Drosophila melanogaster: one gene and its partner. The protein of the gene in region 2 interacts with the protein of the main gene of each other region in a pairwise test. Each region holds a gene or a part of one and is shown on either strand. Other genes may lie near its edges. The genes, in order: dar1 and Sf3a2.

The links.
Region 1: the proteins of Sf3a2 (region 2) and dar1 interact in a two-hybrid assay, tested with the Drosophila melanogaster proteins (one large-scale study listed by BioGRID).

What each region holds. Positions count from the first base shown.
Region 1 is NT_037436.4:3,621,480-3,631,318, forward strand, and holds the start of dar1 (dendritic arbor reduction 1), read left to right. Parts: upstream 1-4,872; 5' UTR 4,873-5,602; coding exon 5,603-5,665; intron 5,666-9,839. UniProt on the Drosophila melanogaster protein: Transcriptional regulator which promotes dendrite growth by suppressing, either directly or indirectly, the expression of the microtubule-severing protein spas.
Region 2 is NT_037436.4:12,810,477-12,818,554, forward strand, and holds Sf3a2 (splicing factor 3a subunit 2), read right to left. Parts: upstream 3,544-8,078; 5' UTR 3,432-3,543; coding exon 2,637-3,431; 3' UTR 2,552-2,636; downstream 1-2,551. Other genes in the region: Sap130 (Sin3A-associated protein 130), read left to right, coding at 1-187, 252-1,112, 1,172-1,410, 1,474-1,744, 1,804-1,974, 2,033-2,140, 2,204-2,353; CG42588 (uncharacterized protein), read left to right, coding at 4,056-4,404, 5,723-8,078.

The DNA of each region.
Region 1 (9,839 bases), 9.2 Mb from region 2:
TCACATTCGAAGAAAAGTTCTCGGCATTGATAAACTTTTCCGATTCGCCATAAAAATCGATAGAAAATCCTATGGAAATTTTCGGCTTTCTGTGTCAGTGCCGAATATCGAATATCGCATAATGTCTGAAGTCTGGCCTATGTCTGCAATGTCTGACGTGTGCTGGTGGGTTTCTGGGCTTGGCCAGATTATGGTTACTTTTATGATTTAATTTCACACGAATTTATATTATTTCGGTGCAATTGTTTTGTGCGTCGTCGCATTTATGGTGTATCAGTGGTTTATGGTCTATGGCTTTTGGCTTTTGGCCAAGGCCAAGGAGAGATTTCACAATCCGAAAGCCAAAAACCGAGGGACTTGTTAGCCCAATTAATAATTATTATTGGCCGGAGTTAGAGAAGATGATGAAGTCTTTGGTGTGGGAGGCCTTGGCTTTCTCTGCGCCTGCCCACAGCCGAGATTTAATTAATTGCCGCGTAAAATTAATTTCATTTCAATTGTGCAGTCGCATCATTAGCAGTTCGCACCCCCTCCCGAAAATAGTTGGGACCCCGAAACCTGCTGAGTAAGCAATGATATCGTTTGTAAGTTTTGTAAGTTACCCCCATACCATCGACATCTCCGATCCCCAGCTACTCTCAAGGGCCATATCGTTTCTACTTCGCTTCGAGTGGGCTTGAAAGGTGATTAACGCGATCATAGAAATGATGTCGGAGGAGTACCGCACTGGGGGCTCATCTTTCCAACACCTGAAGTGGTACAGGGAAACGGGAATTTAATGAAGCACTCCACTGGGAGAAAATATCACCCGAAATGCTAATCACTTAATTCAATTTAACATCAGCTTATTGAAATGAAAGTCCTTCAGAACTTTTGTGACTAAAGGCTGTATAAGCAAATATGAAGTAGTATATTAACAGATAAAACACTACGACAATTGAAAGCGAGCGAACCAATAGGTAATATACTCTCCAAATAATGGACGTTATTACTAACAATAACAATAAAAATGCTTCGAGACCTATAATGTCAATTTTATTAGGCAGCAAAGGATGAATCTTTAAGATAGTACGGGGAGGTTATTAGGATATAAACGATAAAAGAGAATAAAATTTGTGACAAGCATTGTTCATTTGTTTATTTTCGATAATATAATAATATAATGAATCTTTTTCTTTACAGGTTTAAAATGATTTCCGATTGATATAGTTTTTTCTCGCTGTGTCGTAGATCGTTAGATGCTTAGATCATGACTCTTTCTTTCTGCGCTTGCGCACGCGCTAAATGTCAAAAAAGTGCCCATGAAGCTCGGGAAGAATCAGCCGCCTGCTGTTCGCCGCCGCAGCTCCGCTTTCCGCCATGCCACGCCCCCCGCCCTCACCTGAAAGTGACACGCCCTCAGGCGGGCCGCCCACTTGGAACATGTCGAATCATTCATTCAACGCAACGAAATGTGGGCTGCGAGGTGTTGAAAGGCGAGAGGCGAAAACCGAAATACAAAATCCGAAATCTAAAAGGCATTTTGTGTGCATTTGTAATTTGTGGAGCTGCACACAGCATTGCGCTGTCATTATTTTCTGTAACATTTAGCAAAATCATTAATAATTGTTGCCGCCGCTGCAGCGACACAGATACGCACTTAAAAATTGTCAGACAACAGTGACTATGCCTTGGTGTTAACTTGATTAGCATTCGTATAAATTCGCATTCGCAGTTGCATCTTGGCCGCATTTGCATAGAATGCACATTTCGGGGACCCAATTATTCGGGGTAACTAAAAGTCTTCTGATCTTGATCGCCTGAGCTGTTAGATGGAATTCGAGGTGGCCCCAATTCCAATTCCCCTGGCTGAGATTTCAATTACCCTCGCATATTATGCAAACAAATAAATTCGAGCGATAAGGTTAAGCCGAAGAAATTATGAAAATATTTCCCAGAAAATGCGCAGACAAAACAAATTGCCGCGTAATCTCTGGGACCCTTGCTCTTGGAAGAAATAACAACTCCAGGTTGACAATGCACGGCCCGAATAAATCGAAATCATTTGGGAACTTGTCCTTCTTTATCGGCAAGTGCCGCCAAGTGGAATCAATCAAGCGGAGAACCATTTCCTTGGAGGCTCTCAGATCGTGTTTTTCATATTATTTCGATTCCGATTTCGAAGCGTGACAATATTTTGGCCACAATTCAAACGAACTGATCTCGAGGGTCTTCGGTGGGCAATTAATCATGTCGAGCTGGCCGATAAGTTCTGCTCGGTCGAGTGCAGTGAATTTCTGGGGGGAGAGTCCTCGAATCTCCAGTCTCATAACAGGTAGTACCCATCGACATCGATCTTTGTGTGAGGTAAGAGCTGAAACAGGGGCTTCCATAAATCCCGCAGATATCGCTGGCGGGAAAATCAATTACTCTACAAGGATGTGCGCCTCCAATTTGAATATTTATGGTTAACTGATCGGATCTCGACATAAAAGCGCCAAAATTGATACATTACAGGCTTTTTTTTTACGGGGATTTCGGTAAAAACGTGAGTAAAGAGGATATAAATATGTCATTTATAAAGAGAAGTAAATAGAGTTTAAAATGATTACAGAAGGATCTAAGGATGGTATATACTCATAGACAAGTCATTATTAAACAAAATTTAGTTTTTTGTGCATAAAAATCGAAAAAATTGTCCAAATTTGGAAAGTTATACCTCGTTGTGCTCAGATCTTTATCCTTTACAAACACAAAACAACTGCCATTAAAATGTGTAAAAAAAATTTTTTTGACCATTTTCGAAAATTTTGATGATGGTACCCCTTACAAAAAAGTCGAAAAATGGGTAAATTTTTTTTTTTTCAAAAACTCTTAAAAAGTGATTTGGGTTTTCTTCTTAGGTTGTCGGGTGTAAAAAACAGTGCTTCTTATAGCGATGTGTCTTATTTTGACTTAGTTATAACATAATAACTGAAAAACACGCATTTTCGTTGTACCCTTCAATTAATAATTTAATTTACAGTGCCATAGATATTCTAAAGCCCCTTAATCATAATATGCATATTTAAATCCCCAGAGCGCGCATATCTTCGTACTCAACCGCTTCATTCTAGGCCAAAAGCGTTATAAATTGGCTGGCATTTGTCAACCGGCGAACGGAGTCAAGTACGGGCTTGGAAATGTGTCTTTGGCATATCTCACGGATGCCAAACGTAAGACAAGCAGCTCGAGAGCAAACAAAAGCGCGAAGACAAACAAATTCGAATGTATCTGAGTATCTCGGCTTGTATCTGCAGACGTCTGCGGTGGCATTAATGGCAAATTTGCACGAAGTCAATAGCGAAAGCCGGGGAATACTACAGTCAATTATCGGTGGCGTCGAATATGGACGAATGTATCTGCGAGTGTAGATACTTTCGTATCTGACCATGTATGTTGATGTTTTTGTTTTTCCACCTGCGTGTAGCGTTGTTGTTGTTTTTTCCACTTACTGCCACCGTGTACGCAAAAGTGTCTCGCTCTCTCTTTCTAACCGCATGCCCCGTCCCGCTCACTCGTTGTATCTTGTATCTCGTGTTTCTCGCTCTTTTTGTCGACCGCCGATTGGCTGACTTTTGAGTCTGCGCCGCTATCCGGAGAGGCCACACCTCTAAAAACCCCCTTAGAAAACCACGTTTGCGTGTTATTTCAGATACTTTTGGCCCCCCTGCACCAACCATTTTACCCCCCCGCGCGCGGAAAACATAAACTTGTGGCTCCCTAATGGCCAAAAATAAGGAAACCAGGGGGATGAGTCGAAATGAAAATGGCTTTTATGTGTGGCGTGCGTTGGGGTAATTTTATGATTCAGGGAATTACACAGGGAAATGACAGTCCTCGTTCTTCTTTTGCTTTCCACCTGGAATATGTAGATACAGATACCTTTTAATTGTCGCTCTATTGATTTCCCCCAAAGAAAGCACATAAGCTGACTTAATTTATGCTTTAATTCTATTTAATTATGTTTTTTTTTTACCATCTAAAACTGCATGAGGTCTATGAAAGATTCGCGTGTTAGCTGGACAGTTTTTATTTTGTTTAGGCTCTATCTAAAATGTGTCAAACTTAATGAACGGTGTAGTAAAGCGGTTTTAATGGGGGAGGTTCTGTTCGGGGATTATGCTTTGTATGTTTTTGATTTATTACTCCTTAAAGGCTACCAATTTTATACCTTAAGTTATAAAACTTATAAAAAAAGAACGAGGTCCTTAAAAAACACTCTGTCGTATAAAAGTTCTTTACGGAAATCAATTAAATCAAATCGAAGCCATATATGTAGATTTTATTTATATAAACATTTAATTGTAAAGTTTTGTAAATTTAAATGATATTCTAATTGATCGGATTATAATAAAATTATTACTCTAAAATTAATAATTTTTATTTATTTGTTACTGAATACTCCATAAGGGACTTATAAACTTTAATTTCTAACCTCCTTGCCCTATTTCGAGATCTTTTCTGAAGCGTGGTTACTTACTTTTTCACCCATTACCACCTCTACCGCAGGTCAAATCTAAAATGGCGAATCCCAGGCGGTTCATTCAATTAAAATCGATCGCAGCTCTTATACTCCAGTGTCTCCAATAAGATCAGCTGGCTGGAACACACCTGAGAGTCGGATATAAGAGCGACAGATCACCTGGGCCGAAAGTGGCGGAGAGCGGACCAGGTGAGCGGAACACCTGGTGAGCAGAGTATCCGACAGATACAGATACGAAAGGTGAGCGAGAGCGGCACAGAGCGGGCAGTGGAGGGTTAAGCGGCGGGGGTTAAGCGGCAGCTAGCTGACTGGCTTTCTGACTTTCGAGGCTCGTCTGCGCGAAACCCGCGCTCGTCCAATCAGTACGAACTCGGTTCCCGCCAGCGCAGTAACAACTTCGCCGACGAGCGCGTGAATCGCCTAAATATCCACTCAAGCAACACAGAAAATAAGTTATAAATTGAAACCCGCAAGTGCCTTACCATTATCTGTAGAATATTGCAACGAATTTACTGCCCATATATACAGCATATCGAGAGGAACAAGAGATACAGATACAAATAAGATACAAGCCGAAGCTCATCATCGAATGCGGAAGTGAGCGAAAGCCGCCGGCTTTTATTAATTTTGTGCAATTAACGCAAAGGATACAAAAAATCAGTGTGCAAACAAAGGGAAACAAAAGAGTGAGAGAAAGTGATCGAGTGCCTTCATTTGCATATCCTTGCAAATTAAATTAATTTAACAACAAATAACAAAAAGCAATTGAATAATAAGAAAACGTGCCGCAATGTCTGTTGCTCGCAGTGCCATGTCAAGCTGAAGTATTCAATAATAATCCCGAAATTCGATTCCGAATACGATTTTGAATTCGCATCCGAAATTGATTAATCACTGTGCCTTGAACTGATCGTGACTCGTGAGTCAGAGCAGCGCCATTTAATTGTCCGCAAACACAAAAGTACGGAGCCCAGTTGCAAATTGTCGGGTTAAATATTGGTAGAATATCGGTAGAATCGGTGGCATCCCCTCCCCCGCCAGGCATTCCACCTGGCCAACAGTCGAGTGAAGGAGCTTCATGCGAAAAACGCCGCTTAAATGCATACGGATATCATAATTGGTGATCAGTTTGCCGCCAACAATAACTACTGGGTGATGCAGGTGAGTTCGGTTACTAGAATATTTAATTAAAGGCTACTTAAGACATTCTGGAAATTCCAGCGAAAAGATCTAGAAAACTTGATCTTTTGTAATAAATAAAATCCAAATAGCAGATAGATATTTTCTATCAAATAAAAGGCAGTGTCGAAATTTCAAATATCAATCACTTAAATAAAATTCCCTAGCTTGATCAACATTCAAATGGAAATATATCCAACTATTATAGAAAGAATATGTGTGTCTTTAAACAAGGATGAACACATCACAAAGCGTTTAAATATCGTAATCATTAGCCAATTAATTTGCAATCACAGGTTCCTTGTCAAACCCAATTCAAATGAAACAAAAAAAACTTTACGTACCAAAGTGCGCTAATTAAGCCGCTTTTATTGCAAATTAATTTTAGCCAAATTTGACAACAATAAGCGAGCACACAACAAATACGAGAGCTTACAAATCACATGAAAAACACCTTAAGCCCAACAACTTCCGCTTATCAAAATGCAAATCTTGAACAGACCAGATTTTTGACGATTTTTGTACGAATTCGAGTACGAGTATAAATAAAACGCACGCGGCAATCACAAATTACAATAAAACCGAAAACAAATTAGCTCAATTATCGATTGAGATGAGGAGTTGGACTGCGTAATTTTTGAGTGTTCTCGAGTGTGTTTCGACAGAGATTAACACCTTGGATTTCCTCAGGTGTTCCTTCGGTTCCTTCGCCGTTTTTTCCCCATTTTTGTTTTTTTTTGTTTGTCAAATGCGACAATCGATTTGTAAATCTTGTTATCACCTGCAGGAACTCTCGGCTCTTAAAGCCGTTCTCAAATACACGGTCGGTTAACTCTTTTGAACTCATCCACACTTTTCACGCGTTCCGCAGGGAAACTGTGGCGATCACAGTCCATCCGATGCGATCCGATCCGCACTCCTCCTTTCGATATCCATGTTTGCAGCCTGTTTTTCTGTTTTCCCGGCTTGTTTGCCTCAATTGTTTGACTCGCGCTTACTTGCGAAGCTCTGGGTAAATATTTGCCCCCAACACTTTGCCAATGTGCCAAGTGTCCCCAACTGACTGACGAGATGGTTTCAACACGGTTCCTACCCGGGAATATATACATATAGCTATAGCCTGATCATCGACTGGGTGGCATTGATCGATGGTATTGGATAGTATGAGAACATAATTACAAACGGCAAGGGTACATACGTATGAGTAATATGTCTTTCCGAGGAACTGTTTATCCTGTTTATTGCTGAATGTCAATAAATACTTTAGAGTGAAACTGATCGCACAGATTGTGGTTATTAAAGTTATCGAGTATAGGTTAAGTTTTTAGGCCATACTCATTTACCATGAATTAATTTTTCAAAGTATACGTACTTTTTTATTACCAATAATCTTGAGCCTTGATTATCTTTCTTATAAATTTTATGATGTGTAGGCTATCTTCCTAAATTTTCCTATCATTCCCTGTCTTATTGCCTTATCTCAACATTTTACAACCGTTGGTCTACCAGCCTTACGCCCATTGATAAGTTCAGTTTCCCGCAGAAAGTCTAGCCTTGCTCAACAAAAGCTCTGTGTTAAGTGCCTCCAGCTGCCCTCCTCAGAACACTTCCTTCCCCCAGAGATAAGGATCGAACTCCGGGAACCTCAGCGAAACAGATATACATACATAGGTACAGACGAAGAAACCCGAGACATTGGCGATTCCGGGTAAAAAGGCATCGTAAAAGAGCTGGGTGTTCGACAAGTGTGTTGTGCTTGTTCCGCCTGTCACCATCAATAGCTGCACTAATTAGGCATGTGTTGTCAAATATTTACACACAGTCGCAAAAGTACAAAGCGCTGTTGGCCCCCTTTGGCCCCCTGGAAGCCCCATCCACTTCCTCCAGATAGTGTAAGCTTTTGGGTGAGGGGGTGGACTTCTTCCGTTTTCCACTGATTTAACAGATATGATGAGATATGGTAAGGTAATTCCCACGACTCACGGCGATTATGACGAAAAACTTTCGTATTTTATGGCTCTAAACGAAATTAGTTTACGATCGCTTACAGGGAATTAGCTGCACTGAGTATAGAAGTATCCAAGTATCCGAGTATCTGCGTATCGAATACATTCAGTGAATAATGGAAGTAATCCAGCACGTAGCCAGGCGGTTATAGCGCCGACTTTTGCGGCTCTGATTAATGACCCTGAACCATTGTGCTTCAATCGTAAATAATTAAATATAGATAAAAATCAGATAACTCTAAGTTTGAGCTTTTGAAAAAAAAAAGGGGGGGGGGGGGTGTTTAAACTAAACGGGCCGAAGAATTATGCAAATTATTTAAGACTAAACGAAACTTGCAGTCGCTCCAGTGATTTGTCAATAAAAGACATTTACAAATATACCAAATGAAACGTATATGAGTTTATAGCCTATCTGAATCAATAGGAAATATTTGCATTTGCGAATCGGAATCAGACAAAGGCGGCCGCCTTCAAAGAATCAAAATCGGTGCTGAAATTTAACAAGAATTACGGCAATTGCCTTGCCGTCTGCTCATCTGAGCCATAAAAAATCGTGGCAAATTAGATAGAAAACAGCCGAATAATGGCCCGATAAGATAATGATATCCCTAGTAGACTTTCCATTTCGAAATGAGTTCAAGATTGGATCGAGCCCCCGAACAAAACACCGATTGCCAATTACACACCGTCCAGACAATGGCAGTTAAATAATAACTGGAGTAAGCCATGAAAACAGTTGGCCAAAATCTCATTAAGGCCCAGTGGGAGATCGCCCATCAATCGATCGATTCCTATGCAAATCTCGCCAGTAATTTCTGTTTCCACCATAACAATGCCAAGTTTTTAGTGTCTAGTCTTTGCCATATTTTGATTTCGCCAATTCATGCAAATGAAAACGAAAACTAGCACACAAATGCGCCAAAAATGGCACAAAAAAGTCGGGAAAAAAATATCATTCATTTGCAGCCAGTTTTGATTGATTTGCCGCCTGGCCAAGTTGGAGGTCAATCGTGCCGCGAGAATCAATCACTCACAAGCCACTGGGTGCACATAGAATTTGCGGTTTTCTGGATAGCCTATTATTGAGAATTAAGGAATTATAGTTGAAAGAAGAACTGTATTATCCTTTAGCAGTATTAAGCCACCATCTTTAATTTCTTCGCATACCCCTTGTGCTGAGCTTTAAAAACCAATGTCTGAAATCATAATATCGACTATCCATCAATTTGGATTTTTTAAAAGCTTTTCAATAGAATCCTCACTATTGATTTAACCCAATCCAAGCTCTTGTTCCCTTCTTTCTTACCCAATGTTTATGGCACGTGAGTGAGCATTTATTGACCAAAGGCAACCCTTTTGACCGGCTAATTTCAACATTTTTTTTCGACTCAGAAAAAGTATCACCTTAAATCTTTGATAGATTGCCGGGCCTAAGGCCCAAAAAAAAAAGGAGAAACATGTTTGACTTCGGCGAATTATTGCGAAAACTAGTTTGCCCAAAAATAAGAAAAAAGGCTTTTATGCTCACAGAGGTGCTAAAACCCCCACAACATTGAAGCGCAATTCGTTTCAGGTTTGATGGGATCAAAAGCTCAGCGGATGACAGCGAATGAAATGAAATAAATTTCATTTAAAGCTCCGATGCCGCATTAAGATCAATTATTTGATTATGAAACAAAATCTGCGTGAAATCTTCGAATAGTTGACCCAAGCCGATGTCAAATGCCGGCGCTGTAAATTTCAATTTCGCATCGAATTCATTTCCACAACAAGGTGAGAAAAAAAAAACACATTTGATCGGGGTGCGATGATAAAGCCATCATCGGATGGTCTCCATCGCTCGATCAGCTCGATCGGTCGTAAGGCCCCAACAAAGGTTCAAACAAACCAGTCCGACACGAAATCAAATTGCAAATTTAAATTGAAATCGAAATCACAGCACATTTCGTAAGGCACTATTGTATATAATCCGTGGACCGATGGGCGATATCCCATCCCAGCCGCATATGCGTCTAAAAACACTTCAATTCACGTTATGTGCTTACTTAACTTTTATCACCCGGCCGAGATTTCTATGATCGATCGCTAATTGCCAGAGTACAGAAAGGTACTCGAAATGGCTATAAGTCAAGAAGAAGCGCCAGGTACGA
Region 2 (8,078 bases):
CGGTAATATCCTCACGGGAACTCTGACGCCCATCAAGAACGCAAGCGGCATCACTTTGGGCAAGATGATGATGGCACCAGCTTCTTCTGCCCCTGGAGCAGATGGTTCCAGCACAAGCGGGGCAACAGTGACGGGCTTTCAACGCACCTGGAATCCTGTAGTTGCTTCACAGAGCCAGTTGATGAAGGTAGGTTTCAACTATCTACATATATGATGCTTCAATTAACTATTAAAACTAAATCGTTATACAGATCGATGAGAAGGGAAGTGCTGCCACAATCTACTACGAATCTATGCCAGCCTCCGCCTCCACAGGCGTTCTATCATTGACTACGACAACAGTGACGCAGAGCACCCAGGCGCAGGCACAATTGGTTAGCAGCGCCGGTGGCAGCTTGTCGGTATCTTCGTTACCCTTTGCAAGTCACGCGACTGCCGGAGCGGGATCAGGTGGCGGCGGATCGCAGGCTACTTTTACGGTGTTGCCGTCGGGGGCTGGTGGAACAGCCACCCGAACCATTGGCCACCAGCAATTGATAATACCAGCAGGACCAAATAGTGCGCCGCCGCAGCACATGGTTATTCCGCTGCATACGTCCGTTAAGGTGACCACGGGAGCGGGCAATCCGCAACAAGCAACTGCAAGTGGAGCACTGGTGTCCAGCTTTATGCGCAAGCGGGATGCGGAAGGTTCGCCAATACGGGCGGCTAAAAATCTAGGACCCACTTTGCTTTCAATGGCTAGCAATAACAGTGGACAAAACATGCCACCGGCTCCGGGCACCACGTTCAACATTCAGCCGGTGTCCGTGACAGTGCCTCAATCAGTTGGCTCTGGGCTGACCGTAGAGGCGCTGGCCAAGAAGGAACGGGAGCGAGTCACCCATGGTGTAGCAAGTAGCGCCGCTAGTGTGCCTGCCACAGTTGGCCCCGTGAACTCAACGAGAAATTCGAGGGCGGACTCGCCGGCTTCGTCGGACGGCTCAACTACAGTGTCGGCGAATTCCTCACCTGGTGTGGATCAGCAATTACAGGACAGGATTGGCGATCAGCCAGCCACGGGAGGCGCTGGTGGGCGCGATAATTCCACGCATTTTAATCCCATTAATGAGGTGTGTACACAACAATCAATATATGCTTAAGTATGGCTTTAATATTTGTTCTTCAAAAGATGTACTCATCACACCAATCGATTCAGCAGAACCTTGGTCACTCCTCACTGGGAGCCCGCAGTGGTAGCAGTGCCTTTGTGGATGTGCAAGCACCAACGCCGCAGCAACAGCAGCCTCAGCAGGTGCCTCATTTGGTGGGATCGACGCAGATGCAACAAGGAACGCGTATGAATGGTACTGGTAATAGCTCCAGCTCCAGTTATGACTGCTCCTCTAGGAAAAAGCCGCGACGATCGACGTGAGTTATTTGAGTGGTTGTATCAAATGATGCATGTTGATAATCTGATAATGTATTTGCCAGCAATGACAGCCAGCACTCTACGCAGAGTCAAGCATCCTTATCGCTGCCACCTCCAAGTTCGGAGCCAACGCCGCCGGCTGGCGCTTCGTACATGCAGAAGCACAACAATGGAGGACTACTGGTGACAGCAGCGACCCCGGGTGTTGCTCCCAACAGTGCGCCAGGCGATGCCAACCACCGGAACAGTACACCTGCTGTGGCGGGCAACAAGGAGAACGCAAATCCCGTCGACTTTGTGATTCGTCGTCCGCGCAATTGTGCTTTGCTCAATGTAAGTTGAAGGTTCAGTTCATTTTGTGGTAGTTAACAAATGATTCCGTTGATCTACAGACGTATAAGCCCACACATAAGTTGGCCAACAATCATTTTCATCGGTACACTGATGTTAAGCCAAGGGAGGAGCGGCGGGCCACAGTCATTGATCTGGCCAATCAGCCAAATGTGCAGGGCAAAATCAATGGATGGAAAATTTATCATTTACGCTCGCAAATGGAGGACTTGGTAAGCAATGGGCACGAAAGTATTGGTAGGCTACTTTGACTGAACTGATTTCTTACAGAATGAATCGGAAGTCTTTAGTCTGGGCAGGCTGGAGACCATGCTGCAGGATCTCGAAAAGGACAAGGAGAAGCACAGCGAAATTGAGCGAGTCACTGAACTGCTAAAGGTGCGCTCTTATACTTATATCCATTATGCTTGAATCTCAACATAAAACCAATTTACTTTGCAGGGAAACATTCAACGCAGCAAGATTATTACCGATGGCATCAACGAGGCACAGAATCAGTTAATGAAGATCTTCGAGCATAAGCCACACGTTTCTAATATAATCACCCGCTGCGCTTCGAAAAGGAATTTCAAGAAGCGCGAAAAGATCTAAAAGTAATTGACGAACGGAGATGGCCAGCCAAGTGTGTATTAATAAGTTGTACATTACCTAATTTAAGCAGAAATTATAGAATCCAAGATAATTACCTTAAACGCGATCGATTTGTAAGTCGTACAGCTACAAAGAAAACCAGCAATATTTTTTCAATTTATTAAGCTAGAAACACAAATACAAAAACCCTCGAGTTGTATTAAGTAGAAAATTGTTTATTATTTGAATATTTCTGTGGTAATCGGCTTGCGTTTGGAGAAATCCCGTAAACATTGTCGATGAATTAGTTGTTTGAAAGCATGGGTGGCGGTGGATGAACGCCATTGAACATGGGATGCATAGCAGGACGTGGCGGTCCCGGCATGGGGAATCCGCCTGGGGGGCCTAGTGCCCTATGTAGATTCGGCGGCGGTGGCGGCAGGATCTTAGGTTCGAACTTGAAGGCGAACTGAAGGAAGAACTGCTTGGTGTCACGGTTCCAGTGCGTCCAGAACTTGCCCTCACTCTTCTCCACTTCGCGGGACGGCACCTTGAACCCTATGGTCTCGTACGGCTCGGCGGCAAAGAGAAGGTACTGCCACTTGCGGTCTGGCGGCTCGATCTTTTGCTCGTAGGCGGACATGAAGCGGTGACGCGGAACAATGGACTCCGTGATTTCCGGGTAGTCCACCTGAAAGAGCAACGACTGCTGGCCGTTGCTGAGTTCACGCTGCTTGGTCACCCGGTAGCCGGGTCGTCCAATCTTGACGAACTTCTTCGGTTCCACGCGGGGCTTCTCGGGCGCCAGCAGCGAAGAGGGTGCCTCCTTTGCCTCCTTGGCGGCTCTTCTTGCCAGATTATCCTGATGCTTCTTGCCCTGCGTGTGGGCCAAATAGCTGCCCTCGTTGTTGTGCAGCGTCAGGCAGAGTTTGCACTCGTAGGAGCCCAGATGGTTCTTCATGAAGTACGGATCCTTGTTCAGATCGATTGTCTCCAGGGCCAGTTGACGCAGTCGCTCCTTGCGGTCGCGGTTCGTCTCCGACCAGGAGGCTACGCCTCCGCTGCCGGTCTTGCCGCCGGCGCGGTTTTGGAAGTCCATTTTGTAAACTTTATTTTAGTTTTCAACCGCACGAAGGAAAAACGTTTTGCGTTGGTAAAATTTCATGAAAATTTGTTGTACAGAACAGGGTTGTCAAGAAACGCCAATTCGGTTAGGGGTGGTAGTTTATCAGAGTCAATCGATAGTTCGTGTGCAGGATTAAAGTATTAAATAAATAATAGAATGTTTCATAAATCCATTAAAATTCTTAATGATAGTCAAATTTTTGCAAACTGTAATATACATAAAATAACTTATATATTCCTTTTGCGATGTTTTTTTAAAGAATTACATATAATATTTTGGTATATTTTCGTTCCGAAGCTTTGAGAATATTTTACTTTTTCAAAGCGGTCACACTATTAATTCGAGCTGCACATGCTTGATCTTTTTTAGAATTTAAAAAGTGAAAAATGTCTAGACAGCGATCTAAACTAAAGTAAACTAGTGTTGGTGACAAGTACTAGGCCTCGAAAAGCGTGTTTTATTTAAATGTCACTGCGTGGATTACGTCGGACTTGAGAAAAATCGAAGCAACGAGTGTTTAAGAATTTCGATTTCTGTCGTCATTTTCGTGGAATAAACAGTGCCAGTGTCTTATGCGATTTTTAAAGTAACCGCGAAATGGACAACTCCAGCAAACAGGTCATCATGGGTCCACCGGCGCCAATGACCACCACTTCTAATCAACCGAAGCCCGGTAATCCCACCAGCGCCCCTCCTCCACACGCCACCAAAACTGCTGCAGCTCCGCCCAAGCGAATAATTAAGAAGATTCAGCTGGATTTCAACAAGCTCAAGGAGGCTGGACTCGATAGGCAGCTGGCCGAGGTGCTTAGGAAGCAGAAGCTGGATGCCAAGAGGGTGGACGCCCCATCGTCCACCAGTCTTTCCACCTCTGCCGCAGCGCAGTCGACGCCAACTGCGCCAGAGAGCAAATTGCAGTCGCCACAACAACAATTGCGTCAGCCTGGTAATGCATACTTGTATATATATATATTTGCTTTAAGCTGTGCATCGCCCAAAAAACCGTTACAAACCCAGGGGTTTTGTACCAAGTGATACGAAAATCGTCTAAATGCTTCTACGAGTTTTGGGCACAGTACCGAAAACCAAAACGATGGTGCAACTGATTGAGACGCCGACAGATTGTCAAAGAGTTAGTTTTTGTATTAATTGTTCTGAGTTCGTCTCGCAGTGAGTGCGGCGCCTTCACTTTCTTTTCGTGTATCTCGATATATTTTATTTTTTACGTATTTCGAATGGCAACCTAAAATAATTTTTTTTAGTTTAAAAAAGTCTATTTTTGTTAAAAATTCAGGTCTATAGGTTAGAAATATTAGGATGGCTAACCATCTGTATCTGTATCTGAACATCTACAATATGTTCACTTGTCAAACAGGACGTTATTATTTCCAAAACATACTGCCAATAAAATTTATATTGAATAACATAATTTGGTATTTAATTATTTAAAACGATCGATATTTTAATAAGCCAAGAGAATCACATGTTTTACAAGGATATTTTATGTATATTTTAATATTCTTTTAATAAATAAATTTAAAAAACCAAAAAAAAATTAATTCGGGACATTTAGATTAGTTGGTACTTTTCTTTGAAATGAGATGAAATATACTGCTAATACTAGAACACTTCAATATTTTTGTCGTTGTTGTTAAATGTAACACAAAAAGTTTTTAACGAAAACTTTTTTTTAAATTTTAACAATTGAATAATGAGTTTAATCAATAATCATTTAATTTTTGTTGTTGTGTGATAGAGTACTAACTACGTAAAGCCATAAATTATGAAAATTTAATTGGTCAAAAGCAAATAAAATTTTACACTTAATTGTAAAATAGGGATAATGAGCTTAATTCATAAATATGATACCCTTGAAAGGGTAAATATTTTTTTTGACTACTCGTCTGGCAAACTAGATTCAAGACCCACTCGTGCCACAACAATTCGTACTCTTTCGGTGGTTCAATCGTCAAGTGCGCGCTCAAAATGAGGTTAGGGACGAAGCGTCGATGCGAGGCAACATAATTCCCTTTTTGGCCCGGGTTCAAATCCCATTGCGGTCAAACTGCCGTTTGTGTGTGCGATTGTTTTTGCTAATACATGCTCTATATGGTTTTATTTAATGTTTGCTTTAACAATGAATTGCATCTTTTATGTATAAGATGGCTTATTTCGCTTTAAAACTGTGCTCCTTTAACTTTGCTCCTAAGTTCTTCTGCTTATAGTTTCCTTTATTAATTATGTTTCACTTTTATAATTTTTAGCACCTCAGCCTCTAGTAAAGCGTTTTATGATCTCGGAACACATCGAGAAGATAGTGCCCATCCAGCCGACTCCAAATCCAACGGATGGTGACCGTTCCAAACAAGTGAAGGCGCTATTAAAGAACAGAATACTAAACAAGAGCTTAATCACGAACACGCAGGCTCAGCAGAAGCCCACAACTTCCAAAGCAGCGCCTAAGATGCCACCACCTGTTTGCCACGAAACAGCTCCTCGCAGTGGCGGGATTTCCCCAGCTCCGGCAGCCTCTTCCATGTCCATTGCCAAGGCGGACTTGACTGTCCGACAAAAGCAGCCGCCACTTTTGCTCAATTTGGTAAATCAGCTGCCCAAACATCGAGCCATGTGCGTATCGAGTGACAGTCCCTTAGTGAACCCGCACGGGACAGTGCATCAAGTTTCCCCAAGTCCACAGAGGATTCCAGTACAGCAAACTACGAATGTTTTTAGCCAACCATATCCACCTCCAGAGGTTCCTATAGCTCGAGCAGCTCCTACGGTTCCCACACAACTTCATAGGAGTCCAACACCGCCGCTAATTGTGCTGGAGCATAAGGTGTTGGCACCCAACGAGAAAATCGATTTGAGTGGGCTTCGGCTGCCCAATGCTCCGGTGGAAGCTACAAATTCTCCGGATAGCGCTGCAACACCAAATATCCAATCTAAAGTGATCAAGGGCAAGGTTATTATGAACGCCAATAAGTTTAAGGTTTCACGGGAAAAACTGGCCGAGATGGCCAAAGAGATTCGTAATCAGGCGGATCAGGTGAAACAACCTCAAGCTATGAAAACACTTAATTCAAAGGATGTTATTTCCACAATGGATACTCATTTCACTATTAACACAATACTTCAACCAAAACGAACGTCGCCCTTTTCATCACCAACTCTGAAAGGAAATATTGCTCCTTTGTATAATCCAAAGCCAAATAAAGCAACAGACTTTTCAGCTGGCTCAAGTATTCGTTCAAATCCATTACCTGTAGAATCAACAAAACAAACAATTATTGAATCGAATGAGTCTACTGAAGACAAGGCAATAGACTTTCCCACATCAGTGCCTACAACACCTGGAAATCGTTATTCGTCTGAACCAAATCAGGCCACTTCTAATTCCGTGGAACTAGAATTAGTTTCCAATTTAGAAACGGAAGGAGTTATGGCAGTTGCTAACCCAATTGATTTTCCTGTATATATTCCCTCAACTCCTGATCCGACTACCGAGTCAAGCCCTCTTAAGTCCTTTAATGAACCAATCAATTATCCAGAGGTGAATGCACTTGGATCAAGTACTCCTGTATATATTCCTATAACTTCGGAAAGAGGGCATTTAACTGCTGAGGTTACCACAGAATCGAACCTGGTTGATTTGCCTGAACCAGAAAACATACCTAAAGATATGAACGCCGACTTGGTTCAATCTGTTCCTTTAATATCCAAATTGAATAGGGAACCGAACACAGAAATAGGTGATATGCATTCTCAAGCGGACACATCAGCAGTGAGTCAAGAACAATCGAGTTCTTCTGCGGCCACATCACCAGAGCATAAAATCCAATCCGCTGTAGATTTCATAGCTCAATTGACCGCTGAAAATCCGCTCGATGAAAGCAGCTTTATGGATCTTTCACCGGAAGAGCAAAGATTGAGTGCTCTATTTGGATTTGGAGGATGTTCGTTTGCTAGTTCATCGGTTACGCAACCCGAGGAGGAGGAGCTACCCATCGGAAAGATTGTTAAAATGGACGATATGAATATATTGCATGCTACTTTGGATATAAGCAGCGACAGTACAAATGTACTGAGGATTAGCCCGAACGCAGTAAAAATGCAAAGCAGTGTAACATCATTGAGTACACCATTGGTGGACTTACAAGTGGGAGACTCAGCTCTGGAGGACACTAATATACACAATAACTTCCCAAACCCAGTAGATAATACCACTGCAAGCGAATTGCAAAATGTGAAATCTTCGGTAACCGAGACCTCAATTCAAGAGGCCAACGATGAAACAACTGTTATCACAACTTTGCCAAAAAAATGTGACGAAAAATCACAAGTGCCTTTGGAAGAGGTCAAGACAGCGTCAGATCCAGAGCCCTTAAAGGAGGTCAATCCTCCTGTGAAAAGGGCACCTATCAGATCCAAAAAAGCTAAAATTAATCTAGTGCAACGCACCAAAAGACCAAGCATCCAAAAGCCAATTGAAGTGAAGAAAGCCAAGTTAGATTTTGAGGAGGAGGACGAGCAGGCGATGGCTATCGATCACAGCCTGATGGAGGATCGATACGGAGTCCCAGGAATCGAGGTAAATGACAATTCAGCTAGCACGAGCTC